4 linked regions of the Struthio camelus genome follow. The protein of the gene in region 3 purifies or fractionates together with the protein of the main gene of each other region. This does not show direct contact. Links are inferred from orthologs where the notes say so. Each region holds a gene or a part of one and is shown on either strand. Other genes may lie near its edges.

What was found.
Region 1: the proteins of CSNK2B (region 3) and SUPT16H fractionate together in Homo sapiens (co-fractionation; 4 studies listed by BioGRID and IntAct, with this or other methods). This does not show direct contact. The link is inferred for Struthio camelus from reciprocal best matches to the Homo sapiens genes CSNK2B and SUPT16H.
Region 2: the proteins of CSNK2B (region 3) and GPATCH2L purify together in Homo sapiens (co-immunoprecipitation; 3 studies listed by BioGRID and IntAct, with this or other methods). This does not show direct contact. The link is inferred for Struthio camelus from reciprocal best matches to the Homo sapiens genes CSNK2B and GPATCH2L.
Region 4: the proteins of CSNK2B (region 3) and GPATCH2 purify together in Homo sapiens (co-immunoprecipitation; 3 studies listed by BioGRID and IntAct, with this or other methods). This does not show direct contact. The link is inferred for Struthio camelus from reciprocal best matches to the Homo sapiens genes CSNK2B and GPATCH2.

The regions. Positions count from the first base shown.
Region 1 is NC_090970.1:44,842-52,552, reverse strand, and holds the start of SUPT16H (FACT complex subunit SPT16), read left to right. Parts: upstream 1-4,704; 5' UTR 4,705-4,868; coding exon 4,869-4,934; intron 4,935-6,800; coding exon 6,801-6,893; intron 6,894-6,993; coding exon 6,994-7,164; intron 7,165-7,251; coding exon 7,252-7,404; intron 7,405-7,488; coding exon 7,489-7,635; intron 7,636-7,711. Other genes in the region: CHD8 (chromodomain-helicase-DNA-binding protein 8), read left to right, coding at 1,465-1,607, 1,711-1,932, 2,358-2,477, 2,567-2,746, 2,834-2,956, 3,516-3,950. UniProt on the Homo sapiens protein: Component of the FACT complex, a general chromatin factor that acts to reorganize nucleosomes. The FACT complex is involved in multiple processes that require DNA as a template such as mRNA elongation, DNA replication and DNA repair.
Region 2 is NC_090946.1:58,363,749-58,370,913, reverse strand, and holds the start of GPATCH2L (G patch domain-containing protein 2-like), read right to left. Parts: upstream 3,018-7,165; 5' UTR 2,934-3,017; intron 1,806-2,933; 5' UTR 1,794-1,805; coding exon 1,135-1,793; intron 1-1,134.
Region 3 is NC_090977.1:8,406-15,257, forward strand, and holds CSNK2B (casein kinase II subunit beta), read right to left. Parts: upstream 3,004-6,852; 5' UTR 2,908-3,003; intron 2,432-2,907; exon of another isoform or gene 2,340-2,431; intron 2,280-2,339; exon of another isoform or gene 2,038-2,279; intron 1,957-2,037; exon of another isoform or gene 1,839-1,956; 5' UTR 1,828-1,838; coding exon 1,756-1,827; intron 1,662-1,755; coding exon 1,559-1,661; intron 1,116-1,558; coding exon 1,000-1,115; intron 925-999; coding exon 849-924; intron 715-848; coding exon 525-714; intron 435-524; coding exon 344-434; 3' UTR 126-343; downstream 1-125. Other genes in the region: GPANK1 (G patch domain and ankyrin repeat-containing protein 1), read left to right, coding at 4,113-4,726, 4,804-5,251; NFKBIL1 (NF-kappa-B inhibitor-like protein 1), read left to right, coding at 6,112-6,139, 6,243-6,479, 6,705-6,852. UniProt on the Homo sapiens protein: Regulatory subunit of casein kinase II/CK2.
Region 4 is NC_090944.1:116,592,371-116,599,679, forward strand, and holds the start of GPATCH2 (G patch domain-containing protein 2), read right to left. Parts: upstream 3,015-7,309; 5' UTR 2,837-3,014; coding exon 2,781-2,836; intron 1-2,780. Other genes in the region: SPATA17 (spermatogenesis-associated protein 17), read left to right, coding at 3,283-3,350. UniProt on the Homo sapiens protein: Enhances the ATPase activity of DHX15 in vitro.

The sequences.
Region 1 (7,711 bases), on a different chromosome or scaffold from region 3:
TCCCTTCCCGATGCTCCTGCATCCCTTCCCGGTGCTCCTGCATCCCTTCCCTGCATCCCGGCGTCCCTTCCTGCATCCCGGCGTCCCTTCCTGCATCCCGGCGTCCCTTCCCGGTGCTCCTGCATCCCTTCCCTGCATCCCGGCATCCCTTCCTGCATCCTGGCGTCCCTTCCCGATGCTCCTGCATCCCTTCCCGGTGCTCCTGCATCCCTTCCCTGCATCCCGGCGTCCCTTCCCTGCATCCCGGCGTCCCTTCCCTGCATCCCGGCGTCCCTTCCTGCATCCCGGCGTCCCTTCCCGGTGCTCCTGCATCCCTTCCCTGCATCCCGGCGTCCCTTCCCGGTGCTCCTGCATCCCTTCTCTGCATCCCGGCGTCCCTTCTCTGCATCCCGGCGTCCCTTTCTGCATCCCACTGTCCCTTCCCGGTGCTCCTGCATCCCTTCCCGGTGCTCCTGCATCCCTTCCTGGTGCTCCTGCATCCCTTCCCTGCATCCCGGCGTCCCTTCCTGCATCCCGGCGTCCCTTCCCTGCATCCCAGCGTCCCTTCCCGATGCTCCTGCATCCCTTCCTGGTGCTCCTGCATCCCTTCTCTGCATCCCGGCGTCCCTTCTCTGCATCCCGGCGTCCCTTTCTGCATCCCACTGTCCCTTCCTGGTGCTCCTGCATCCCTTCCTGGTGCTCCTGCATCCCTTCCCTGCATCCCGGCGTCCCTTCCTGCATCCCGGCGTCCCTTCCCTGCATCCCAGCGTCCCTTCTTGCATCCTGACATCCCTTTCTGCTTCCCGACATCCCTTTCCTGTGCTCCTGCATCGCTTCCCTGCATCCCAGCGCGCCTTCCCGGTGCTTCTGCATCCCTTCCCAGTGCTCCTGCATCCCTTCCCGGTGCTCCTGCCTCCCGGCGTCCCTTCCTGCATCCCAGTATCCCTTCTTTGCATCCCAGTGTCCCTTCCCAGCGGTTCTGCATCCCTTCCCTGCATCCCACCATCACTTTCTGCATCCCAACATCCCTTCCCGGCGCTCCTGCATCCCTTCCTGGCACTACTGCGTCCCTTCCTGCATCCCACCATCCCTTTCCTCATCCCGGCGTCCCTTCCCGGCGCTCCTGCATCCCTTCCTGCATCCTGATGTCCCTTTCTGCTTCCCGACATCCCTTCCTCATGCTCCTGCATCCCTTCCTCGTGCTCCTGCATCCCTTCCCGGCACTCCTGCATCCCTTCCCGGTGCGTCCTGACGTCCTTTCCTGCATCCCAGCGTGCCTTCCCGGCGCTGCTGCATCCTGACATCCCTTTCCTGCATCCCGGTGTCCCTTCCCCGCACCCCAGTGTCCCTTCCCCGCACTCCGGCGTCCCTTCCCGCTGGCTTTCTGCCACCCCCCTGCCCGACGCCCCCCGGGACGATCGTCTCCTCCCCGACTGCCCGGGGCGTCCTGACCTCCTCCACCCCTCGCCTGCCCGCTCCCCCCAGGGCCGGACGCGGCCGGCGGGGCGAAGCTCTTCGAGGAAGAGGAGTCGCTGCTGTCGCTGCCCACCTCCCGGGAGGGCGACTCGCCGCAGCCGCCGGCCCCGGGGCTGCCGCCGGAGCAGCCGCACCTCCGCGAGTGGCCCAAGGTGAGACGCCGCCGGAGAGGGGGCAACGGCGCGCGGCCCGTTTTCCGCCCCCTCCTGCTCCATGCTAACCGCCGCCCTCCCGTCCGCTGCCCCGTCCGCGCAGGACCGGGCTCTCATCCACCGCATCGACCTGGTGTGCCAGGCCGTGCTGTCGGGCAAGTGGCCGGCGGCCCAACGCGGCCCCGAGCCCGCCGGCGGCGGCCAGGGGGACGGCGGGACCCGGCTGGCGGGTGACTACGCGGCCGCCCAGGAGGAGCCGCCGGCCCCTTACACCCGCCTGCGGCACAGCCCCGAGGAGAAGGAGTTCACGGTGCAGATCAAAGACGTGAGTAGCCGCCGGAGGGTCTCCTCCGCCCTGGGATGTCCCCCGTGAGCGTGGAAGGACGTCCTCCACGATCATGGAGAGGTGGCCATGCACAATCGTGGAAGGACGTCTTCCACGATGGTGGAGAGGTGTCCTCCACAGTCGTGCAAAGACGTCCTCCACGATGGTGGAGAGATGTCCTCCTTGGTGGTGGAAGGACGTCCTCCACGATCATGGAGAGGTGGCCATGCACAATCGTGGAAGGACGTCCTCCACGATGGTGGAGAGATGTCCTCCTTGGCACTGGAAGGACGTCCTCCACGATGGTGGAGAGATGTCCTCCTTGGCGGTGGAAGGACGTCCTCCACGATCACGGAGAGGCGTCCTCCTTGGCGGTGGAAGGACGTCCTCCGTAACGCCGCCGCCATCTCCCCGCGCCGCCCCAGGAGGAAGGCATCAAGCTGACGTTTCAGAAACACCGGCTGGTGCCCAATGGCGCCCTGCGGGACCGCTACCAGCACTTGCACCCGCCCGGCCACAAGAAGAACAGCAAGAAGCTGGTGGAGGTGAGCGGGACGAGGCAGCGCGGTCCCTCGCGGCCGGTCCCCCTTGCTTTTCGGGAGCCGCCTCTCTGACGGCGGTCTCTTGTGCCCAGCTGGAGCTGCAGTGCCTGGAGGGGCTGCGGGGCCCCGACATCGACCTGGAGGCCCGCATCCCCGTGGTGCACAAGGCCGACGGCACGCTGCTGGTGGGCGACGCGGCCCCCCGCCGCGCCGACCTGGAGAGCTGGCTGCAGGCTCACCCCGACTTCGCCGTGGACCCCCGTTTCCTGGCGGTGAGCGTCGTCCTCTGGGGGCAGGCAGCCCGTTTTCCGGCCTCCGCCGAGCCGCTTTCTCACCTTTCCCAAATTTCTCTTCCCCAGTACATGGAGGATCGGCGCAAGCAGCACAAGTGGCACCGCTGCAAAAAACCAGGCGCCGTGGAGGCCGGCTGCCTGCCCGGGCTGGAGCGAGGGACGGTGCCCGGCGAAGCCAACAGCAAGAAGGTGAGGTAGCCCCCCAGGACGACGTCCTCCCTGCCCACCTCCCCGCGTGGTCATCTGGGGAGCTGGACATCCCTCTGGGGCCGTTTGGGGTTTCCATCTCCACCAAGTCCCCAAATATGCGGGTGGGTGGGTGGGAAGGGGGAAGCTCTGTGTCGTGGAGGACATCCCTCCACGCTCACGGGGGAGATCTCTCCACTGTCGTGGAGGACATCCTTCTATGACCATGGGGGAGATCCCTCCACTGTCGTGGAGGACATACTTCCATGATTGTGGAGGACATCTCTCCACCATTATGGAGGACATCTCTCCACCATTATGGAGGACATCCTTCCACTGATGTGGAGGACATACTTCCATGATTGTGGAGGACATCCCTCCACCATTATGGAGGACATCCCTCCACCATCGTGGAGCACATCCTTCCATGATCATGGGGGACATCCCTCCACCATTATGGAGGCCATCCCTCCATGACCACGGAGGACAACTCTCCACTGTTGTGGAGGACATCCCTCCTACTGGCCAAACCAGACGGTATTTCACTGTCGCCCCTCGCCAGGGCTTCCTGCCGGACCCCGTGATGAGCCGGCTGCTGCCGGAGGGCAGCCCCAAGGCGCGGGGCCGGCGGGCCGGCGTGGACCTCTCCAAGATGGTGTCGCTGATGGGGCCGGCGGGGCCGGGTTTGCTGGGGGGGCTGCACGGCCCTTTCGCCCCCGGCCCGGCTCCCGCCTCCTCCGCCCTGCCCTACGCCGCCTCGTCCTCGGCCGCCCTGCTGCACCCCGCCGCCTTCGCCCTGGGCCCTCCGCGCCACGACGAGGAGGAGGAGGAGGACGAGGAGGAGGAGGAGGACGACGACGACGACGAGGAGGAGGAGGACGAGATGGACGACTTGTCTCAGGGCTATGCCAGCTCCGAGCGGGATTTCTCCCTGCTCGACGACCCCATGATGCCGGCCAACTCGGACTCCAGCGACGGGGCCAACGAGGCCGAGTGAGCGCCCTCTCCCCCTGCCCTCCCTCCCCGCGCCCCCCCTCCCCGAAAAAAAGACTCGTCTCCTCTCGCCCCCACCTCTACCCCCCCCCAAAACCGCGCCGCGGGCGCTATATTTATATAAATATGTAAAATGTCTTGTGTCATACGGCGGGGAGAGGGGGGTTTGGGGGGGGTTGGGGGGGGCACGGGCGGAGGGGGGGGTCGGTGATGGCGGCGGCTGAGGGGGAGGGCGGCGGTTGGGGGAGGAGGGGGGTGGGTTGGTTTGAGGGCCAGGCTTTTGGGGTAGAAGCTTCCCCGTAGTTGGAGTCTTTTTCTTTTTCTAATAAAAAGGGATAAAAACGGGCTGGAAAAGGCTTTTTTTTTTTTTAATTTGTTTTTTGCTTGGGGGAAGGGAAGGGGATGGATGAGGGCGGCCGCCGGGGGGGGGGGGGGGTCGCCCGTCGCCCTCTGAGGAGAAGGGGCGTCGGGCGACGCTGCGAGGTTTCCCGCCCTCGCCTACGCGCATGCGCGGCGCCCGGCCCCGCCCCCTCCTCGCCGCTTTTCCCGCCCTCGCGCATGCGCGACGCCCGGCCCCGCCCCGTCCTCGCCACTTTTCCCGCCCTCGCGCATGCGCAGCGCGCGCCCCCGCCCCCTTGCCCCCTCCGCGCGCGGCTCCTGGGAGGGAGGGGGCGGGGGGAAACGCCGCGCGTGCGCATGCGCCCAAGGAGGGAGGGGCGGGGCGAAGGGGGGTCGCGGCACCGGAAGCGGAAGCGCGCGCGCGCTCGCTCCCGTCGTCCTGGTGGTGGCGGCGGCGGCGACGGCGGAGGCGGCGGGGGGCGAAGCTCTTCCGGGGTGAAGGGCGGGAGGCGGCGGCACCGGCACCGGCACCGGCACCGGCACCGGCGGCCTCCAGCCCGGCCGACGAGCCCGAGCCGCCCCCATGGCGCTGAGCCTGGACCGCGAGGCCTACTACCGCCGCGTCAAGCGTCTCTATGGCAACTGGCAGGTGCCGCCCCCGCGCCGGGGGTTTGGGGGGGGGTCACGGGGCCCGTGGGGGGGGGTCACATGGCCCGTGGGGGGGTCACGGGGCCCGGGGGAAGCGGGTCTGGGGGTTGGGGGGGGCGTTACCGGGCTGGGGGAGGGATTTGGGGCTATTTGGGGGGGGTGGGGGGGTCATTGGGCTCGGGGGGGAGGGACCGGGGGGGGGGAGCGGACCCGGGGGGTTGGGGGGGACCTTAGGGCTGTTTTACTGGGGGGAAGGGAGGAGAGTGACCAGACCTGGGGGTCTAGGGGAGGTTTTGGGGGTGTTGGGGGAGCATGGGGCTGTTTTGGGAGAGGGAAGGGGGGGACAGTGGCCAGACCTGGGGGTCTAGGGGGAGTTTTGGGGGTGTTGGGGGGCATGGGGCTGTTTTGGGAGGGGGAAGGGGGGAAAGTGGCCAGACCTGGGGGTCTAGGGGGAGTTTTGGGGGTGTTGGGGGAGTGGGGGCAGTTTTGGGAGCAGGAAGGGGGGAAAGTGACCAGACCTGGGGGTCTAGGGGGAGTTTTGGGGGTGTTGGGGGGCATGGGGCTGTTTTGGGAGGGGGAAGGGGGGAAAGTGGCCAGACCTGGGGGTCTAGGGGAGGTTTTGGGGGTGTTGGGGGAGCGTGGGGCTGTTTTGGGAGAGGGAAGGGGGGGACAGTGGCCAGACCTGGGGGTCTAGGGGGAGTTTTGGGGGTGTTGGGGGGCATGGGGCTGTTTTGGGAGGGGGAAGGGGGGAAAGTGGCCAGACCTGGGGGTCTAGGGGAGGTTTTGGGGGTGTTGGGGGAGTGGGGGCAGTTTTGGGAGCAGGAAGGGGGGAAAGTGACCAGACCTGGGGGTCTAGGGGGAGTTTTGGGGGTGTTGGGGGAGTGTGGGGCTGATTTGGGTGGGGGGAGAGGAATAGGGGAGGTGGAAGGGGGGAGTAACTGGATGTGGGAGTCTGGGGGGGATCTAGGGCTGTTGAGGGGCAGTGTGGGGCTGTTTTGGGAGGGGGAAGAGTAGGGGAGGTAGAAGGGGGGAGTAACTGGACCTGGGGGTCTGGGGGGGGGTTGGGGGTCTTAGGGGGGAGCCTGAGGCTGTTTTGGGGGGGTAGAGAGGTGGAAGGGCAGAACAATTGGGTCTGGGAGTTTGGGGGGGTCTGGGGTCGTTGAGGGGGGGAGCGTGGGGCTGTTTTGGGAGGGGGAAGGGGGGGAGTGACCAGACCTGGGGGTCGGGGGGGGTGGGGGTCTTAGAGGGGAGCGTGGGGCTGTTTTGGGGGGGTAGAGAGGTGGAAGGGCGGAACAGTTGCGTCTGGGAGTTTGGGGGGGGGGGCTGGGGCTGTTGGGGGGGGAATGTGGGGTTGTTTTGGGGGAGAGAGGAGTAGGGGAGGTGGAAGGGGGAGAGTAACTGGACCTAGGGGTCTGGGGGGGGGTCTGGGGTCGTTGGGGGGGAGTGTGGGGCTGTTTGGGGAGGGGAGGGGGGGAGTAACTGAATTTGGGGGTCTAGGCGGGTGGTCTAGGGTAGTTGGGGGGGAGCAGGGGGGTGTTTGGGGAGGGGAGGGGAGAGTAACTGGGTCTGGGGGGGATCTGGGGTGGTTGTGGGGGCAGCGTGGGGCTGTTTTGGAGATATGAGGGGTGGAAGGGGGCAGCGACTGGGTCTGGGGCTGTTTTGGGGGGGTATATAGGGCTGGGGGGGGTCAGAGAAGCGATTTGGGGAGGGGGTGGTGAAGGAGGTCTCCAGTGGGGGGCACATAACTAGGCCGGGGGGGGGAGTTGGTCTATTTGGGGGAGGTGTAGAGCCGGGATTGGGGGGGGGGGGGGCCACCGACGCACGCGCCCCCTCCTCTCCCGCCCCCCCCAAAATTTCCACCCCGCAGAGGGGGGAGGACGAGTACGCCAACGTCGACGCCATCGTGGTCTCGGTGGGGGTGGACGAGGAGATCGTCTACGCCAAGTCCACCGCCCTGCAGGTGAGCCGGGGAGCCAAGGGGGGGGGGTCCGGGGAGCCGGGGAGGGGTCCGGGGAGCTGGGGAGAGGGTCCCCCCCCGCCGCTGACTTCGCCCCCGGCAGACCTGGCTGTTCGGCTACGAGCTGACGGACACCATCATGGTGTTCTGCGAGGACAAGATCCTCTTCATGGCCAGCAAGAAGAAGGTGGAGTTCCTCAAGCAGGTGGCCAACAGCAAGGGCAACGAGAACGCCAACGGCCTGCCCACCATCACGCTGCTGGTGCGGGAGAAGGTGAGCCGGCGCCCCGTCTCCCTCCTCCCTCCCGCCCGCCTCACCCCTGACCTCCTCCTCCTCCTCTTCCTCCTCCTCCCGGCGCAGAACGAGAGCAACAAAGCCAACTTCGAGAAGATGATCGAGGCGCTCAAGGCCAGCAAGAACGGCAAGCGCATCGGCGTCTTCAGCAAGGATAAGTTCCCCGGGGAGTTCATGAAGAGCTGGAACGACTGCTTGAGCAAGGAGGGCTTCGAGAAGGCGAGTGGCGGCGGCGAGGACGGGAAGGGGGACGGGGAGGGGAACGGGGGAAACGCGCTCACGCCGCTGCCCGTCGCCCCGCAGGTGGACATCAGCGCCGTGGTGGCTTACACCATCGCCGTCAAGGAGGACGGGGAGCTGAACCTCATGCGCAAGGCGGCCGCCATCACCTCCGAGGTCTTCAACAAGTTCTTCAAGGAGCGGGTCATGGAGATCGTGGACGCCGACGAGGTCGGAGGAGGGAGAGGGGAGGAACCCGGGCTCGAGCCGGTTGGGGGGGATCCGAGGGAGACGCGGTTGGCGCCGG
Region 2 (7,165 bases), on a different chromosome or scaffold from region 3:
ACTTCCTGAGCCAGTTCTTCTATTTGATCTGTAACGCCTAACAGTCTCTGATAAATCTGTCCTCCACATCCCCCTTTTGGGCACATTTTAGTCCTCCAAAACGCCCCATGGCAGAGTTCCAAAATTTGTGCTTTATGAAAAATAAAACACTTCTTGTTTTAAATGTTTCCTGAATATCTCCCATTTCTTACATGATAACTACTCACAGTAACTATGCACAGAACATCCCTATTTGCTTTCTGCAGGCCACTCATTAAGAAACCTTTTCCATTTGCCCCTCAGCAGTTGTTTCTTTTCTAGCCTGAAAAATCTCTTCTTACAGAAGTGGTTTTATAGCCCCAAACCTACTATAGAGAGGATAAAGATCACACTCGAGAGGGAAACTTCTCAAGAGTGATATACAAACGAGTTTAGACCATGGCATCTGCATTTCCAGTTTTCATCTCTTGTATGAGATTCTGCCACAAATTCGTCAAAGCCTGAATACAAAGACATGCAAGATCCCCCTGTGTGTGCAGACCTATACTGTAAGTCAATTTCTCCCAACTTCTTTATCCTCTCACTACACCCTCCCTGTAGCTAGCCTTGCAGGACTAGCCTTGCAGTATTCCAGATTCAGAGCAGAGATTCAGAACTGCAAACAAAATGTTTTGATTGAGGTTCATACAGTACTTGCACAGAGGGCTAGCAGTCATGATGGCGGATCTGACCTGTTCTCTATTACTATTATGGGTAAACTCTGAAAACAAGAAACTGAGATCAGTTCAAATTGATCACACAACACAACTGCCAGCTGCATATTTACTTGCCAAAGGTCAGGTCACAAGCCTGTCACTTTGTAGCAGCAGAGCCACAGACTTTTCAGAGGGCTGCTTGTATAACAGGGGTCAGAGACAGATCAGCTTGCCAATTCTTGAAAGAATGTATGTTTTGGGTCATCAGTACTGCACTGACAGGAAAGACCGCTGGAAAAAAAACTACAGCATAGAAGGAGCTGAGGGATTTCCCCTCTTCAGAAAGAGAACAGCACTGAACAATTTTGATAAGAGCTTTTAGAATAAGGCACAGGATTGCAAGCAGCTACAAGCAAAGTAGCCATCCGACTTGAGTACAGGGAAGAAAGTGAGTTCTCACCATTCGGACATGTTTTCATCTGAGCCCTGTTTCTGTTCATCAGCTTCACATTCCATCTGCTCTTTCCTTCCCCCTTTGCTGAGGAAGGGCCTGTTTTCTCCTGATTCACAAAGGCCATGACCAGATGATGTCCAAGGGGCATTTTCCTTCCAGCGTGAAAGACGCTGTTTCTTGGCTGACTTGAACCTGCAGCCCCTCTCATAGTTCCACTCTGACACCCTCAGCTTTTGCTGGAGACTGGCAGCCACCTCTGAGGTCACACGTTTCACCTTCCGGCGGCGCCGAAGCGGTCGACACGGTGCGTTCTCTGTGAAGGAGTCCGACTCGTGCCACGAGTGCTGCTTGCTCCTCAAGGTGGCACTGAGAGCTGGGTGTCGTTTGACCACTGCCACGTCATCAGAGTCACTGAAGTTGGCTGTCAGCACCTCACGGCAATCCTTCATTGCTTCATCCAAGCTTGACTCTGAGGCCTCACTGTAGCAGCAGGCATGCTCTGCCTGATGTGTGAAGTCCGAGCGCCGCTTACGACCCCGTCTCTTGCGAAGCTGACGCCGCTGCTGCCGCGGGCTTAGGGCCATCTCTTCCCATAGTTCATCCAGCTTGTTTTGTTCTGAAGTCTGCTCTAAGGCCGAGGCCAAGTCGTGCACCAGCTCATCCATTGGCAATGTCTACTAAAAATGACAATGAACAATTAGCACCAGACATGAATGCTGCTACCAACGCATCACTAAACTACAGCACGCTATAGCCTTTGTGACATGAACCAAAGTACACCCTTACTTTGGAGTTGCCTGCGAGAAGTAATGCGGGACAACTGCCATTTCTTGGGCTATTGCTTGCTCCTTCCTTCCATCAGAGTTAAATCCCCCTTCTAACCACAGCAGCAGAGGTGTCGCCACTGCAACATTTTACCCAAGTGCTCTGTGCCTGAAAAGGCCTTAAGATCGCATCTTTTGCTTCAAAGCAACAAACTGTATTACATCTTAAGAGTATGAGAGCCTACAGCTAGTTTGCTACCCGATCTAATTATGTTAGTTGCTATAAGCCACACAGAAGGGTTAGTCTGCTCAGCAAACAGACTGAAGACTTCCAAAGGCACTAAAACTCAGAGTAAAATGGAATGTAAAACAGGTAGTTTGTGAGTCAGTATCAATTAAATAGCAAAATAAGATACTTGAAAGTCTATTCTAAGAAACACAGAGCTCAAAAGATGTAAGACCAACCCCCAAATCCTCCTGGCAAAACAGCCAACGCGCTCCGCCTCAGAACTCTTAGTGAGCCCAACATAAAGTCCTGCCCGAATTCCCCATCTCACAATAACTGTCATCTCCCCGTTTATGTGTTGCACATGTGCGATTTCTCCCGCAATTTAAGGCTTCTCCGCTTAACTTCTGGACCCCCTGCTCCACAGCAGCCCTCGCTCTCTCAGCCTGAGGAAGGTCCGGGACCCAGACGCCGCTCTCCTCCCGGGAGGAGCCGCTGCTTCCCAGCGCAGCGGCCGGCATCCCCCAGCCCTCACACGGCGCTGCGGGCCGGCCTGCAACGCGCCGGCGCCCACCGCCGGCAGCCGGGGCACCGGCTAAGGCGATGCTGCAAGCGAGCGTCCCGCCGCCCAGCCGGCACCGTGACGTGACGTGACGCGGCCCGCCAGGCCCCGCGCCGGCCCCGCGCCCCCGCGCCGGGCTTGACCCGGCCCTCCGCCCTCCGCGGGGCCGCGGCCGGCCGGCCAGCCCCCCCGCCGCCGCCGCCCCAGCCGCCGCCGCCGCCCGCCCGGGGCCCGGCCGCCCGCCGCCACTCACCTGCCCGCGGCCGCCCCGCCGCTGCGCCAGCCCTTCGCGGCGGCACTTCCGGCCTCGCCGCGCGACTTCCGCCGCTCCCGCCCCGCGGAGGGCGGGGCCGCGCCGGGCTCGGCCGTTACCGCGGCGGCGGCGTCCCCGCGGCTGGGTGCGGGCCCGGCCGCGGGGTTTGGTGCTGGCCGCGGCCGCAGGGGCCGCGCCGTGAGGCGGCGCCGGCAGAGCCGCCGCCGCAGTCGGCCGCTGCCCGTGGCGGCGCTCCGGGGTGGCTGGCGGGAGGCGTCTGCCGGGGGCAGGGTTTAGGGCCTCACCTGCGCGGCCCCGTCTCCTGCCTTGGGAAGCTCGGTCATGAACGCACCGGGGGAACCGCTCTGTACTTCTGCAGCAGTGGTGCATCTCGGGGGCTTCCTTCTCCTGAGCAGTGACCGCCACCAGGCCACTGCGGACAGATGTGACGTTCTCAGATAGGTCTCATCCGTACAAGCGCTTTGTCATATTCAGCCTAATCTTTCTTAAACTTCATCGCTTGAGTCTTTTTCCAAAGAGCATCAGAGCACTTAGTCAAATGATTTCCCTCCCTCTTTGCAGCAGGAATGCCACAGTAGAGGGAACGGGCCACACTCAGGTAGCGGTCAGGGCCTCGGCCTCGTCTGAAGAGCAATTCAAACTGCACTGGTGGGATCCTGGCTTCCTGCACAGCCAGTGCGCAGACTGCACCAAAGGCAACTCGGAAGACCCAAACAGGGACTGTAGAGGGAACCTGCATCTGACGGTTCTGGGTAGTAAGTGGCTTGCATCACTCACTAGTCACCTGGGCTTAGACTCCGTGATGAACCAGGTCAAGGATGGTCTAATGTTCAACGGGAGTGGAAATCAGGTGCCTAAACGCAGCACCGTTTTAGAGGGTACCCAAGACATCCTTTCTTAGAGCAGGCAGATATGGCAGGACCTATGGGAGACCTGCATCTTTCTGGAGCAGCATCTGGAGGCCAAGTGGAGTACCTCGTGTCATGTAAAATGGCGGGAGATACATTTAGGCACCCCTCTCTCCCAGTTTCTCTTCATTCCTGCAACCAGTGCCAATCCTTGTGCAGCTGGAAGAGCTTCTCCAGCTGCATGATGAACCAGCTCAGGGAACTGGAAAAGCAGAGAAAAAAAAAAAAAAACAAAAGAAAGAAAGAAAAACCCTGTAGAAGCATGGTCCTTTTCAGCCAGATCAGTTCCCTGGCCTGGTTCACTATGTGGTCGCAAAAACAGTGCGGTGAGCCCATCAGAGGGGCAGAGCAGATGGGGGCAAGGCTGGGTCTACAGCTGGGCCAAACAGCCTCAGCTTTACGGCATACCCCTGCCACGGATAGTGCCCAGCCACTCCCATGTACAGGGTACCTGCTATGTCTGGATGTAGAGCTGTCAAGCAGCGTGGTTGTAGTATCATGTGAAACGATGGCCGTGGCTTTTCCTAGATGAGGAGCAAATACTTATTCTAATATTTCATCTCGGTGACTGCTCCATGTCCTGGCCTGACCTTTAGAAGTTGTCAGCAGAAATGTGGCTGTGTGTGTAAGGTCTTTTCTGCAGCTAGGCAGTAATCGGCCTCTACCTCCTGGTGCCTGGCTCTGTCTCTAATCTTGAGGTGTTCCTTGATTTAGTGGGTGTATATTATCAGTCACCACAGGTTGGTTCATGAAGTTCTTATTTATGGAAATATCAGTGACTAGCTTATCTGACCTCTGGCCTGCTTTCGAATGAAAGTAACATCTCCACCATTGAAGGCCTGATGTTTCTTATTGATTTTCTGAAGATTTGTGCTTTCCTAGGTCCTATTGTTGGAGTCCCAGGTCATGTCTCTACAGATCATTAGCTGCTAATAGAAGCTGTGTGTTCACAGCTCTTGCCATCTGCTTACTCTTTTATTGCTTGATATTGTTTTGTTTTGTTTTTAATTATAAGATGTAGGCAAGTAGTAAACGAGACACCAGCACTCCTCCGTTTCACTGCTCACGTTTCTACTGTGTATATCAAAACATAGTTTTGTTATTTCCTAAGATAAACCTCTTTGTATTACTCCCTTGTCCTTCTTAAGATTTGTAACTCTCTCATTTTTACTGTTATAGCATATTCCTGTAATCTCTCCCATTTTACAGATCACCAGCAGTCATCAGAGTAGAGCCAAGCATGACCCCACAGTCCAGTTTTGCTTAGCATTCCCTTCTGTTTCTTGTATTTCATTTTTTTTTAAATCCATGTGGCAGCATTCATATTCAAGCCAATATTGGTTCATTTTTCAAGTTACATTTTATGAGGCAGCGTAACACATGCTTTGCTGGAGTCCAGATATATTATGTTCATGGCATTCTCTTCATCCACTAATTTTGTAAATTCAATCAGAGAAAGTAATCAGGTTTGTCTGACATGATTTGTTCTTTGTAAATCTACACTGTTCCGTATTGCTCATAGATCTATTATCCTTTGCATTTTTACATTTTTCCCACCGCTGTTTATTCCATTATGTCACCAGAAACAGAAGTTATTCAGAAAGGGTGATAATTGCCAAGATCACTACCTCCTCCCTGCTCCCTCCACTCCCACCCCCAAGACTCGTACCGCACTTGCTTTTCCTTAGTCCTCTGGCACCCTCCCTAGTTTGTCATGATGTGTCAAAAATAGCCATAAGAAAGTCCTTGAATTTGTAGTTGCTTCCTATACCCATATAGGACAATCATCATATAGCTTCACTGAGTTCTCTACATGCAGTTTCTCTAAGTAGTCCTATATTTCGTTTTGAGCTGTCACTTTAATGTTTTCATTACTTTTTAGTTCTCTGAGAAACTAACTTAGAAAAGTAATATTAAAAAAACCAGTCATTAGGTGGATCATTTTTATCCCATCCCCAGTTGCTGCCTTCAGTTAAGTTACTTTGACTGCACTGATTCATCTGTAAATTTTCTTCCTTTTGTCTTTTTGACCCTTTCTATGGCAGTAGCTCACTCTGCTAGACTGTAGTATTTTGTTTTCCCTGTCAGGTTCCTATTTCCAAAATAGGTGGTTTCTTTTTGCTCTCAGATCTGAGAGCCAATCCCTTCAAAAATCCAATCTTGTTTTCCTGCTGCAATCCTTTTTCATGCTTCAGGATATAAAACAGCTACAAAATGTCTCATTTAGAGAGAAACTTCCCTGATGGGAAGGTTATTCTGTAAACATCTACCTCAGAGCTTCTTATACCTTTATGTCAAGCACTTCATACTGGCTACAGTTCTAGGTAGGATAACAAATTAGATAAACAATTGTGTAAAAGACTTCCTATGTTCATATGTCCTGGGGAGACAGCAACCCACTCTAATTTCTCTTGTTTTTCATTCTTTTTTTCCAAATAATTCACCACTAGTAATTTTCCACAAATAATTCACTGTTCTGTTGGTCAACAAACTGTTTTGCAACTGGTATAAATTTTACTTAATCTGGCCAATTTTTACCATGTTCACTCTTTCAAACCAAATTTCAACAGACGTCAGCAGTGTTTTGCCTGAGTAAAGAAAGCAGATTGGGACAAGGGGTTGATTTTCAGACAGAGGAATGATGGTACTAGAAGCTGCTTTGGCAATTTGGAAGGGACATAAGAACTAAAAGGGTGCAGAAGCAGAGCGTTTATGTGTACAGGGGAAAATCAAACAATCGGGAATAGAAAATGGAGAAATACAATAGAGGCAGTTGGGGGTCATCTGTTTTTTGGGCAGCTCGTGCTATTTCTGTCCTGTCTTACAAGGTCACTTCTGAAGTGGGGCTGTGACTGTAAGTTTTCAGTCCTTGTCTGTGTTCAGCTTCATTTAATCTCTCTGCGTAGCTCAGTTTCCCTGTGCGGACAACAGGAGCTGACCCATCTTCTCAGCGCTGATTTTGCTTGTGAAGTGCTCTGGGGATACCAAATGTTCAGCACTCTTACCCTGACTGGATTGTTACCCTTTACTGACCTTTGTACATACCGTTTTTTTTTCCTGCTGGAGGCAGCATTGCTGAGGTTGCCAGCACCTACCCCCTTTAGCTGAACTGTTGCTGGAACTGGACAGGGGAGAGGGGATGCTACTTGTTAGGGACATTTCCAGGGTGAGCAGGGGAAGAAGCTCCACTGGATCCTACTAGCCAAGTCATTACTGTGTCTTTGCCCAGCTCATTCTCCAGTGAGTACAGAGAAAGGTACGGCCTGATAGGACAGGAAGAGCGAAGGGGTTGTTGCATGACCC
Region 3 (6,852 bases):
GGGCGCGCCGGGGCCTGCAGCCACCCCTCCCTCCCTCCCGCCGCCGCCTCGGGGTCGCTCTCACGACAACAAGCAACTGGGCGGGTTTTCGCGAAGGCGGAACAAAAAACCACCTCGCTCGTGGCCCGGTTTTCTGAACTTCTTTCTTTTTGTAATTGAACTCTGAGAAAAATCAACCAAAAACAGATTAATTTAAACAGTACGTAGGACTGGGAAGGGGCCTCAGCCCTGCCCCGAGGGACCAGACCCAAAAAACGCGACGGAAAAAGAAAGGAAAAACAAGGCAGCAGCGGCCCCTTGCTGCGGGGGGAGAGGAGGGACCCAGGTGTCCGGGGCGGCGGGCTCAGCGGATGGTTTTCACGGGGCTCTTGAAGTTGCTGGCGGCCTGGAGCTGCAGCTGGTACGCCATGGGGTGGATCTTGAAACCGTACAGCCTGGAAGAAGAAAAAAAAGCATCGGGACAGCGCTGGGCTGTCAGTAGGCCCCAGAGTGAACGCTGCGGAGAAAAAGGGGCCGGGGCTCACCTGGGCACGAACTGGTTGGCGGGCCGCTTGGGCCGGTACTCGGGGTGCACCATGAAGAGCATGTGGGGGAAGCCGGTGCCGAAGTAGGCGCCGTCGGTGTGGTGGTGCCGGGAGGACTTGGGCGTGTAGACGTCCATGCACTTGGGGCAGTAGAGCTTCACCATCGCCTCCCCGGGGATGTCCGAGAGACCTGCGCGCGGCCGGCTCAGCGGGGCCCAGGCGTCCGGGCCCCTCCGCGCCTCCCACCCTCCCTTCCCCGGCACCCGCCGAGCCAGGCGTCCGGGCCCCCGCTCCAGGGCCCAGGCGTCCGGGCCCCGCCCCTACCGATGGGCAGCATGGGCTGGTTCTCGCAGTAGACGCGGGGGCAGTAGCCGAAGTCGCCCTGCTGGTACTTCTCGAGCTGGGGGGGGGAGCGAGAGGGGCGGTGAGGGGGGCGCGGGGGGGGCGCCCGGCCCCGGGGCGGCGCAGCACCCACCATCTGGGCGATGCCGCGGTTGGTGAGGATGTAGCGCGCGTGGATGAGGCCGTAGAGCATCTCGGCCGCCTGCTCGATGAGGTCGCTCTGGTTGGGGTTGTCCTCCAGCTCCTCGTCTGCGCGGGCGGGTCAGCGGGGACCCAGGCGTCCGGCCCCCCCCCCCCCCCCGCCAGCCCCCCTCGGGGGGCGCCGACCCCCCCCGAGACCCCTCAAAGGCTCCGAGCCCAACCCAGGACCGCCGAACCCCCTCGCGATCCCTTCTTGACCTCCACGGCCCCCCCAGGGCCCCCCAATGCCCCAGGAGCCCCCCTAACTCCCCTAGAACCCCGACCCCCTCGGGACCTCCCTGTGCCCCCCCACATCTCCCTGGTCCCCCCCCAGCTCCCCCCGAGATCCCCCAAGCCCCCTATGACCTCTCCAAGGACCCCCCCAGCTCCCTGCAGCTCCCCTAGGACCCACCAAGGACCCTCAACCCCCGCTCCGGGCCCTCTCAAGCCCCGTAGGGACCCTCGCAGCCCCCCCAGGGGCCCCACGGGGCCCCCCCGCAGCCCCCCAGCACCTGGCTCCAGGTCGAGGATCATGTCGAGCGCCTGGCGATAGTGCGGCACCTGCTCATTGAGCCCCGTCAGGTTGAACTTGTCCTGGATGTAGTCCTCGTCCACCTGGGGCAGGAGAGGCGGCGTGAGGACCCAGGCGTCCGGGCACCCCCCGGCCCCCCCCCAAGGGGACCCAGGCGTCCGGGCGGCCCCCGCTCACCTCGCAGAAGAACTCGTTGCCTCGGAGGCCGCAGAACCAGGAGATCCAGGAAACCTCCTCGGAGCTGCTCATGGTCCCGGAGTCTGGGGGAGGCGGGCGGTGAGGCCGGGATGACCCCCGCCAGGGGCCCAGGCGTCCGAGACCCCTTCACCGCCCCCACTCAAGGGCCCAGGCGTCCGAGACCCCTTCACCCCCCCCCCACTCAAGGGCCCAGGCATCCGAGACCTCTTCACCACCCCCACTCAAGGGCCCAGGCGTCCCGGGGCCCTTCACCCCCCCCACTCAAGGGCCCAGGCGTCCGAGACCCCTTCACCACCCCCCCCACTCAAGGGCCCAGGCGTCCCGGGGCCCTTCACCACCCCCCCACTCAAGGGCCCAGGCGTCCGAGACCCCTTCACCCCCCCCCACTCAAGGGCCCAGGTGTCCGGGGGCCCCTTCACCCCCCCCCATTCAAGGGCCCAGGTGTCCGGGGCCCGGCCCTCCCTCACTTAGGGGCTCCCCTTCACCCCAGCCCCCCAGGACCCAGACGTCCGGGCCCCCCTCGGCCCCGCCCCCCCGGGGGCCCAGGCGTCCGGGCCCCTCACCGCGGCTCTCAGGGGGCGAACAAGGGGCCGCGCAGCGCCAACCCTCCCCGCAGCAAGGCCGCCCTGCGCCGCGCCGTCCCGCGCATGCGCCGCCGCGGGGGCCGCCGGGAACTGGAGTCCGCGCCGCCGCGGGAGCCGCCTCCCCCCCCTCCGCCGGCCAATCGCGAGCCGCCTCCCGCCTACAGCTCCCGGCGGCCCCCGCGCGGAAGGGAGTGGGGTGGGAGGGCGCCCCCACCACGTGACGCGGCGGAGGGAGTGCGGCTGCGCGACCCGCGGCCGGGGCCGGTCACGTGGGGCGGCGCGAGGTACGGCGGGAGTTGTAGTCCCGCGGCACCGCCTCCTCCATAGGGGTGAATGGCGCGGGGGGGGCTGAGAACTACAACCGCGAGGGGGCCGTTATACCCCCCCCGGCTCCGCGAGAGGAGGCGGGGCCTGCGCTAGAGTGGGCGTGGCTTATCCCACTACCGGGGAAAGGGGTGTTTCTGCGGGGGAGCGGCCTTAACCCCCCCGAGGGGGGGGGTCCCTCGTTACCATGGCCACGGGGCGGGGGGCGGGGCCTCGCACTCACCGCCCCGCGCTGCCGTCGTTGCAGCCCAGCGCGGCCCCGGCGGCGCCGCGCGGGGGCTTCTGGGGGACGCGACAACGGCCGCCGGGCGGCGCGCGCATGCGCGGGGGGGTGGCGGTCCGCCAGTGGCCGACGCGCATGCGCGCGCTCCCTCCGCCTCGCCCGCCGTAGCGGTGCGCCTGCGCGCCCCCCCTCCCCCGCGGCTGCGCCTGCGCGCCGGAGCGCGGCGCCCTGGCGCTCTGCTCCGCCGTCTCTATGGTGAGTTGGGGGGCTGGAGGGGTGCGGCCTGCCCGCGGGGACCTGCCCCACCGCTGCCGCCTCGGGATCACCCCCCCAGGGCCGGGGCCTGCCCCACCGACCCCCTCCCCCCGGGTCTGGGCCTGCCCCACCGACCCCCTCCCCCCGGGTCTGGGCCTGCCCCACCGACCCCCCCCCCGGGTCTGGGCCTGCCCCACCGACCCCCCCCGGGGTCTGGACCTGCCCCACCGACCCCCCCCCAAGTCTGGACCTGCCCCACCGACCCCCCCCCGGGGTCTGGACCTGCCCCACCGACCCCCCTCCCAAGTCTGGACCTGCCCCACCGACCCCCCCCCCGGGTCTGGGCCTGCCCCACCGACCCCCCCCGGGGTCTGGACCTGCCCCACCGACCCCCCCCCAAGTCTGGACCTGCCCCACCGACCCCCCCCCGGGTCTGGACCTGCCCCACCGACCCCCCCCGGGGTCTGGACCTGCCCCACCGACCCCCCCCCAAGTCTGGACCTGCCCCACCGACCCCCCCCCGGGTCTGGACCTGCCCCACCGACCCCCCCCCGGGTCTGGACCTGCCCCACCGACCCCCCCCCAAGTCTGGACCTGCCCCACCGACCCCCCCCCGGGGTCTGGACCTGCCCCACCGACCCCCCTCCCAAGTCTGGACCTGCCCCACCGACCCCCCCCCCCGGGTCTGGACCTGCCCCACCGACCCCCCCCCCAAGTCTGGACCTGCCCCACCGACCCCCTCCAGGGCTCTTCCCCCCTCCCCAGGATCTGCCCCACATCCCTAGGCCTGAACCTTCCTTGGGCACCTGCCCCCCCCCCCCAGCCCCAACCCTCCTTCTCTAGGGCTGTTCCCCTGCCAGGGCCCTGCCCCACATCCCCCCCTTCCCCCACTGCCGCCCTGACCCGGCCTCTCCCCCCACCTCAGCCCTGAGCCGCCGCCGGGCGCCGCCATGGCCCAGCTCATCGCCTTCACCCGGGCCCGGGACGAGACCGACTGCTGGAAGGACGGACACCTCCAGCGGCGCCCGGCCGCCCCCGCCGAGCCCGGCAGCCAGGCCGGCGACGAGGCCCGGCGCTTCTACGAGAGCCTCCTGGCCGGGGAGGACGGGGCCGGCCCCGCCGCGCCGCCTGTGCCCCCCGCCGCGCCGCCTGCGACCCCCTCCGAGCCGCCTGTGCCGCCCGCCGAGCCGCCCCCGGCCCCCTCCGAGCCGCCCCGGGCCCGCCGCAAGCCCCCCGCGGCCCCGTCGGGCCCCACCGACACTCGCCGGGGCAACGCGCTGCTGAAGGCGGCTCAGGACGGCGACCTGGGCACCCTGCGGCGGCTGCTGGAGAAGGAGGGCTGCGACGTCAACTACCGGGACGGCTTCGCCTGGACGGCGCTGATGTGCGCGGCCCGCGCGGGGCGAGCGGCCGCCGTGCGCTACCTGCTGCGCCGCGGGGCCGCCCGAACGGGTTTCCGCGAGGCCGGGGGCCGCGACGCCGCCGGGCTGGCCGAGGACGCTGGCCACCGCGGGCTGGCGCGGCTGCTGCGCGAGTGGCGGCCGGAGCCCGAGGAGGCGCCGCGGTGAGTCGGTGCCCGGGCGGCGGCGGGGCGCAGCGGGCGCCCGCGGCCCTGCCTGACGCCTCCTCTCCCCGCCGCAGGCCGGCCCCGGCGGAGCGGCGCTTCTGCGGCGTCTGCGGGACGCACTACGCCGAGGAGAGCGCGGCGCAGCACGAGCGCTCCACCGCCCACCTCCTCAGCCGGGGCGACCCCCCGCCGCCCGCCCGCTACCACATCCCCGAGACCAACGTCGGCTTCCGGCTCCTCGTCAAGGGCGGCTGGGACGGCCGCGCCGGGCTGGGCCCCGCCGGCGACGGGCGCCGCTTCCCCGTCCAGACCCTGCTCAAGCGCGACCACAGAGGCCTGGGCTGCCCCAGCGACCTCCGGCCCCGCGTCACCCACTTCGAGGCCCGCGACGCCGCCGCCGTGGCCGAGCCGCCGAAGCCGAGGGCCGAGCGGGCCGGGGCGGCGGGGAAGCGCCAGGCCCAGCGCCGGGAGGCCGCCGCCCGGGCCTGGGAGCGCGACCTCCGCGCCTACATGGGCCGCTGAGCGCCGGCGGCCCCGGCCGCCGGGGCTCGCCCCAGCCCCCCTCGCGCTGGCGGCAAAATCGGGGCGGAAACCCAGCTTTCGCGTGCTGGGCGACGCGGTTGGCGCTGCCCAGGACTCTGGAGCCGCTCGCTGCGGTGCCGCCGGTGAGTCCGACCTGCCGGGGCGCGGCGTAACCCCACGGACCCCGTTCCTGCCCTTGACCCCCATTCGCGTCACTGATCCCTGCTGACCGCTTTGGTCCCCATTGATCCCGCGCGAGTCTTTCGTCCCCGTTCGCACCCTCGATCTGCTTCTGCCCCTATTCAGCGCTTTGGTCCCCATCGATCCCCATTCACGCTGTCGGTCCCTATCGACCCCCATTCATGCTGTCGGTCCCCGTCGATCCCCGTTCATGTCGTTGATTGCTGTTTGCTCCGTTGGTTTCTACTGATTCCCATTCACAGCATCAATCCCCACCGATCCCCATTCACGTCGTTGATCCCCGTTGATTCCCCTTCAGCTCATTGATCCCCATTCGCCCCATTGATTCCCACTGATTCCCCTTCCCCCATTGATCCCCATTTGCCCCATTGATCCCCACTGATTCCCCTTCACCTCATTGATCCCCCTTCGCCCCATTGATCCCCACTGATTCCCCTTCCCCCATTGATCCCTATTCGTGCCGTGCAGCCTCGTTCACCCCGGTGATCCCCACTGGTGCCCTCATTGGTCCCCTCGTTGCCCCCTTTGGGCCCCGTTGGCCCCTGTCACCCCCGCGCGGGTCCCTCCACGCCGCCCCCCCCCCCCGCCAGCGCCGCCGCTTCCGCCCTCCCCTGTCGCCACTTCCGCCCCCTGCGGGGCCGCTTCCGCCCGGGGCCGCCATGGGCTCCCACCGGCGGCGGCACCGCGGTGAGCCCCTCCCCTCCCCCCCGGAGGGCCCAGGCATCCGGGGCCCCTCCCCCCGGGCCCTGGGGACCCAGGCGTCCGGGTGACCTTTCCCCTTTGTCCCCAGGCGACCAGGAGCCCCCCGCGCCCCCGCGGTGCCGCTGCCCGGAGCCGGAGGTGCCGGGGGGCAGGACAAGGCGGGGGGTCGGGGGGTGGGGGAGCCCCACGGCTGCCCCACGGCTGCCCCACGGCTGCTCCGGCCGCCCCCAGGCCGCCCCGGAGCCCCCCAGCCCGGACGGCGGCTGGCGCCAGCGGCTGCTGCAGGAGTGGGAGGACGAGTGCGGCGAGCCCCAGTGCTACCGAGGTACGGCTGCCCCACGGCGGGCCCGCACGCAGCCCCACGCCCTGCCCCTCGGCAGCCCCGTGGCAACCCCGCGCGCTCCCTCAGCCGGGAAGCCGCCATCTCCGTTCTCGCCGCCCCAAGGAGCTCCCCTTGCCTGCAGCGGGGCTGCCGGGGGGTGCTCCCTGCCCCACAGAGCCCCGCGCCGTGGGGCTGCCTGCCTCAGCCCTCCCCTCTCCCCCCGCGCAGAGGACTTCGCCGCGCCGGAGCCGGAGCCCTACGATGCCTGGGCCGACCGCATCGCGGAGGAGCACCGCCGCAAGCGGAGCCGCCAGGGCAGCCTCGATGCCGCCAGGGGCCCCCCGAAACCGCCGCCCGGCCCCTCGCACCGGCGCCG
Region 4 (7,309 bases), on a different chromosome or scaffold from region 3:
ATTTGTAATAAGTACATCTGACTTTTCTAAAATTGCTGACTATCTAAGAAAGCACAACAATACAGTATATCCAATTCAAAATTTCAAACAACATTCTCCAGTAATATTTAGCAGAGGAAAAAAACCCACATCAGTACAGAGCAACATACACAGTCAGAAAGATGCTGACATGAACTGCATTTAACAAGGCTCTAATGCAAATGAATTGGTCAGCCAGAAATGAGATTTGGAGCCATTTATCATGAGAGGTGGCAATTCTTACAATCCCATTGCTGCCATTTACTGATATGCTTGCCCTTTTCAGAAGTCAACTTCATTAATTAATTGTCAAGGTGGAGAATCACATGAACTGTCAAATGATGGCAGCATCAAAGTCATTATCAGAAGAATCAGCGTGCTCAGGACGTATCCAAAATGCAATCTATTTCTAAGTTGTCATATGTACTCATAAAGGAAAAACATTCAGCTTCAGAGGAGCTTTAACACCCAAAATAAAAAATTTCATTCTGCGGAAGATCAGAATCTACCAACTTCTTTACGGTCTTAATGTTTTTAGGGAGCTAAAATCCTTGAGTTTCTAAATCAAGCATTACACCTTGAAAGAATATTTTCCTTTGTTTCTTTAATACCACATTTCTCTCAAAAGGATCTCTCTTAAAGGACAGCTTCTGAAATAACTCCTGTATAAGGACAAGAAAAGACAGCGGCTCCAATGAGTAGTCAGAGATTTAACAGACCTTCATAGCTGTTAAACTAATATTCCAATAGATAATAAGATTTCAGTTATTTTCTCTGTACTGAATTCCTCTGGGCTGCGTATTTGGACAAACAAAACCATTAATATCTGATGACAGATAGAGAAAAACATCAAGTTTCCATCTTTTGTGTTGCTGAAAAGTTTTTAAAACCACTGGAACTAAATTATTTTACGTGAGCACAAAACAATAAAATTTAAAGACAAATGACAGGTCAGGTCTACAATGAAAACTTTGAGTCTCAGAGTACAGATATACCTTAGGCATGTCTTAGGCAGTGGTGTTCTTACTGCATGCACACTAGTACTGAGATAAAAGACTTCTGCCAGTACAGCATACATCATTCTCTGAAAGTGCTATGAACTATACCAGCAAAAGTAAAGTTATATTTATGCAAGGCAAATTCACATGCCTAGCAAAACTATCAAACTTTTTCTAAAACATATATTGCATGTTGGGAAATACAACTCTTCTAAGAAGGCTCTTTAATTAACAAAAATGTAAGAAAGCCATGAAAACACCCACAGGAAAAAGAAGTGGTGGTAGTAGTACAAGTGGGGAAGGAAAGGAGTTTACTATTTAAGAAAGCTGAACGCTAAGCTTTTCCTCCTCCCTCTTCTTCTTCATCCACAGAAGAGGAAAGCAGATTTAAGATCCGGGTTCCCACCTGCAAGTGCCTGTATACATAATACAATGAGATCTCAGACTTCTTGCTCAGCAGTTACGGCTATAACTTTTACCATTAACATAAAAAAGCCTCCCCGTAACCATTAATAAAAATGAAATTCACTAGAAGTTATCAATTGGAATACACAACACTTCAACTAACGCAAGCTTTCATAATATACATAGAATAATCTCAGGACCAGTTTTAACTGAGAAAGCTTTTCACAAGAATGATTTGAGGTTTACACTAACAATAAGATACGTAATTTTGAGAAGTTTCACTGTTTTTAATCTTTGGAGGCATATAATGGGGAAAAACAAAATAAAACACAGCATTCTTTTTATCACTACTTAGAAGGATAATATTTTGTGATATTTCTCTTCTATTTCATATGAAACATTCTCAATATTTTACACAGTGACCTGAAGTTTTCCAAACTATCAGCTTCTTTTAAGAAAGTTAACATACTGTTTACATTTGGAAGCCACAAGACACTTAACATTTCATGAAGAAAACGGAAGGCTTCCCTGTTGCCTGCTTAGGCCATCTTGCTTTCATCAACAATCGCTCCGCTACCAGTCTTTCTACCTCCATCTCTATGGCCTGCTAACAAAACTTGCTTTTCCCTCTTCTGTGCATATGCATTCCTCCCATCTTTCCTCTTTCAGTTGCTCGATTTCTCCTTTCCTCAATCCCATAAGAAAAATAATACGCTATTTAGAATCATTATGCTAATATCTGGAATTACATAAAACAGTAAATTACACTGTACTAGAACTATGTATATGTTTCTTGCTCACAGGTTATAACCACACTTGTTGATTCTTGTTTCAGACAAAATATAGTAACTTCAGAAAAACAACTGCACCTTACTGCCTGTTTCTGCAGCATACATCACAAAGGATGTAGCCCTTCAGGGTCAACAATTAAAAAAATTAATAACTACGTTTGTGATGAGTTTTTGTTTTTCTGCAAACAGGATAGGTTTCTTCTCCCACCCCACTGCTCGCTTATAGGCACAAGGGAACCTTCGAGACGTGCAAGTGGCACTTGCCAGGCCTCGCAGCCCTCCTCCCCCGAGGCCTTTGGCGGAGAGATAAGCACCGCGCGGGCCGGGGCAGGCCAGGCCACCCGCTGCCCGCCGGGGTGCTGTGAGGGCCGGGGGAAACACTTGTCCGCAAGTTTTTAAGCCTCGCACCTGGCACGGAGATGAGCTCCCTCAGAGGCAGCGGGCTCCCCCCCCACCCCCCGCCCCAGACACCGTCCCTTCCCCCGCGCCCTGCGGCAGAGACACCCCCCCCCCTCCCCGCGGGCGGCCCCGCTCTCGCCCCGCCGCCTCCGGCCCGGCCCGGCCTCACCAGCTCTTTCTCGCCGCCTGAGCTCGGGTCGGGTTAGGCTCAGCCACCCGGAACATGAACCCGGCGCCTCCCCCGGCCGCTCCCCGGGGAGGCTGGCGCCGCTTCGCAGAGACTGGGGCAAGCGGAGACGGGGCGAGGGGCGCCGCGGCTGAGGCTGGCGGGCGAGGGCCGGGCGGGGAGGCTGCGGGCGGCCGGGGCTGCTCCTCACTCCCCCATGATGAGAGCCCGGAAGCAGCTGCGGCACCGGCAGGAAACCGGGCGCCACCATCGCGCCTTCTCCCCTCCCGCTCCGGCCCGCTGCCCGCGGGCGGCGCGCCCCGGCCCGCCTGCCGCCGCGGCCCCGCTGCCGCCCGCAGCCCTGCTCCGCGCGGTTCCCGCTGCCGCCTGCGCCCTCCTTGCTCTGCCGGCGGGACGGCGGGAGGAACGGCCACCCCCGCGCCCGCGCGGAGTGGTACGGCCCCGTTGCCATGGTGGCGGCGTCGTGAGGGAGGCGGAGGGAAGCATGGCCACCTTGGCCAGGCTTCAGGCGAGGCTGCCGGCCCTGCGCGAGGAGTGTTTCCGTCGGAACAGGTAACGGGGGCGGCGCGGGGGGCCGCGGCCAGACGCACCTCCTCGGGCTGGGCTGGGGCGCTGCTCGCCCCTCGCTGCCGCAGCCCCGGGGCTCCCTCCGTTAACGAGATGGCGGCACTCCTCCGCCCTCCCCGGCGGGCGGCGCGGCGCGCTCCCTGCGCCTCGCCGTGCGCTCGCTGCGCTGCGCTGCCGGACGCCGGGGCCGCGCGCGCGCCCAACCGCCGCGGGCTGCGCGTGCCCAACTGCCTTCCCGCGGTCGGGCGTGGCCGCCATCCCGTGAGCCCCCCAGCCCACCGCCAGGGAGGTCTGAGGAAGCACCGGCGTATCGGGGCAGGTCTTTTTAGGGAGTGTGTTTATACCCCGAAAAAATTACCGACCTTCCCCTCCCCAACCTCCGGCTAATCTTGAGCGGAAATTAGCCTCCTGAAACTCAACGTTTAGCTGCTGAAACTTCTGAGTGTTTTATGCAGTGCCTTTCTTGATTTGCCTCTCCCTTGTTTATCTTAAACAGAACTGAGTTTGATGTTATCGCTACAGTGATATAACTCTTTTATCAAGGGTACTTACACAGTATAAATCCCTACTCAATATCCATAAACTATGAACACCTCCTCTTGTGGCTCAAATTTCTATGTTACTGGAGATTTAGTTTATCCTGTCAAATGATAGCACTTTCTAACTAAGCGACAGAATCCTCCGGCCTCAAAGTGAGTTGATGTTTGTCCACACTGTTAAAAACAGATATATTTCTAAATTAGATTATGCAGCTTGGGATAAGTTTTGTCTTTTTGTACTAAATTAAAGAGATACTTCTTCTACTAAAGATCTGAAACGTCCTGTACTACAGAATGGCAAACTGTGATCAAATCACCTGTTACCATTCTCTTGACTAAGTGGGACTGTTTTGCTGCTTATTTCTTTATAAGGTGGTGGTGGAGGCCGACTTTTCACAGATCATATTTTAAGAAATCAAAGCTTTGACACATACTTTTCATAGGTTTCTACTGAAAACCCTTTTATACAAATATATTGTTGCAGTTACTAAATATGTAACGTTAATATCCAAACAGATTAATGTTTAGAATAGTTATAGCTTTTTTCTTTACTGTTCATTGACTCAATCATTTTAGAAACCAGTTACAACATCATTAGTATAAATAACAAAGCTCTCTAACGTTGCTAAAAGTTACACAGAGTTCAAGTCTTGCCTGTGTATGAAGCATCGTGTTTTCTTGTTCTTTCCCTGAACTATAGCTTGTCCTCTTGTGGATGTACACGCAGCAGTTCACTAAGTGAGCATCAGTTACAACAGATTATACTTGTATTTTGCATGTTTCGGGTTAGAAAGAGCAGGCTGAGCCAAACATGGAAATTCATTGGAGGGCAGCACGCTTGATGTTTCGGGATCTGTTTTTTGGCACAGCTTTCTAAAAATGAATTGGTTCCTTTTTAAGAACAGGCTATAATCCATCAGCTTCTTGAAATCCACAGACCTTCAGCTGAGAATTTAATTGAGAGCCTTCAAACGCTCCAGTTCAGCCACTGAACAGCTGATCTGTAATCTGATCTTTGGTCTTTAGGGCGAGAATTTTGGACTTCAATGAAGTAGTCAGTAAAATCTTGAAACAAATCAGAATGTCTTTTTCAGTGCTTTTAATACATCCTTATTTAACTTTTAAATTAACAAATTAACTTTTGGCATTGAAGTGTGTTTACATCTACCTTAATCTAAATCATCGAAAGGTACAGCAGAATATAGATTACCAAGTATTTGTCTTATTTATATGAGTTGTCTTGGTTGCAAATAAAGTTGCTTTGTTGCAGGGGTAGAACCTGAAGGATTTACTTCCATGTGTGTCAAGCACGTTTTAAGAAAAAATAAAAATATTTCTTTCTTCACCTGTCTGTCAAGAACTAAATACAGAGCTGTGTAGAACATCGAGAACGTGCAGAGCGTCTAACACAGCCTGACATAAGCAGACCCTTGTGGAAAAGAAGTACTTTGGCTAATACTTACTGTTGCAGGAGGAACAGTGCCTTGAATTAAGTCCTCAAATTAGAAAACTAACTTTCTTTATCTTTCAAAATGCATTTGCTATTTTGGGACTTTACATCTATTCTATTAAGGATTAGGGCAGGTTGATGACTGCAATATCCTGCCTGTTGGTTGTGGTTAGATGGGTGATCAGTTTACCAATTTTTTTCAGATCTTAGTAATGTTCCTGACATTCTTTATGCAGAACTCCATTTATATCTGAGGTACAGGGGCTCCTAAAACCAGGATGTCTTTTTAGGAGAAGTGTCTTTTTAGGAAAGGACTTACCCAATGACAGCCCCATGGAAATACCTTGAGAAATACCCGCTTAGGATAAGCATTAAAATGTAGAGGATCTGTGTAACACTTAAAATTTGAGAATGCACTGACAAGTTTATAACTTATTCTTTCAATAGCTTACTTTTATATGCTTTAACATCTGTAGGTCAGATATTGACTTTGAGCGTGCGTAGGTAACATTCAGTAAAGTCTTTGAGAAGCGTTTGTGACTATATAAAAGCTTGATTCAAACTGTGTGGCAACTATGCAGTCTGATCAGAATGGCAGATATCAGTTTGAGCAACCTAAACCCCAAACCACTCCATTTGCTAGCATTGTTAGTTGAAAGTATTTGTGGAACTATAGTGTAAGAAAAACAAGTCTGTTGGTCTGCTCAAGTGAACTTTGTAGGGACTTGTAAACTGACTCAGCTAGGCAAGACAACAGTCCGACTAGACAACTAACATGGAGTAATAGAGGAGAGGGTTTCTGCCCTTCCAGAAGCAGACTATTGTCATTGGCCATTGCCAAGTAGGTAGGATTGGTTTTGGAGCTGACATCTCGACCTAGGCCAGTCCCATGTGTCGTTCGCTTCCAGGCTGTAATTGTGACTGCCCAGCCAGGCCCAAACAGCTCATACATTTTACATCAAACTCATTTCCCTTGGGGTAAAGTTTTCTGGAGGTGTCTAGACTGTAAAGTCTAGGAAGCTATCCAAGAAAGGAACAAGAGAGCTCTTTACTATAAATGGCTGCTTTGGTATTGACTTGTTTTGTGGTCTTAGTAAAAGGATGGTTTGTTTTCTGCAGTTTCCAGATATTGTAATGGGTCTGATGCACATAATGTGACAATGAAAATCTATGTTCATGTTCATGTCCATGTAATGTGATGTGAGAGCACATGCTGCAATAGCAGATACAAAATGAATGGAGCTAATGTCCCTTTAGGAAAGAGACATTAAAGTAGTAAATCAGTAATGAGGATAATATTCAGTTATCAGATATAAATGACTCTTGTTAGGGTTCACCAAGGCAACTAATGTTGACATGATACTTAGATAGTTAGAAAGCTAACCAGTATTAATCTAATTGTTATTCTGTGAGAGGTGTGACAAAGTAAACTATTTGGTAAAATGTTCCAAATAAAAATGTGACAGATTTAAAAATGTGTAAAAATCCATGAAAATTACAATATAATTTTAACTTCATCAGCTTGACAGTTCTTGACATTTTATTATGAAAAAAACATAAATAAAAGCTAGACGTGATCTTGTGGCTAGATTCCACCCCTCAGCATTGAAACTGATCATAGCCATGATTTCTTCCTGAACACTCTGAAAACTGTCTTTTAGATTCTTATTTTTCTTTAGGTGTCTTTTTACTTTGTCCCAGTTACAGTTCTCCTAGTAGAAGAATTCACAGAAAAAAGAAAGGGGAGGACTATCTCTGGGAATTATTTTCAGAATTTCTGATGGGGACTTTTCACTTGTGCTTCTTTCCCCACCTGTGCACCTGCCATTTGCCTGTACTACTGTATTTAACACAAAGCTTTGACAGCTAGTGCTTCTCTAAGATCTGCTTGAAGTCATCAGTTCTCCACCTATGTCTATCGTGTATCTTCAGCTGCTGCACTGGTATCTCTTTCT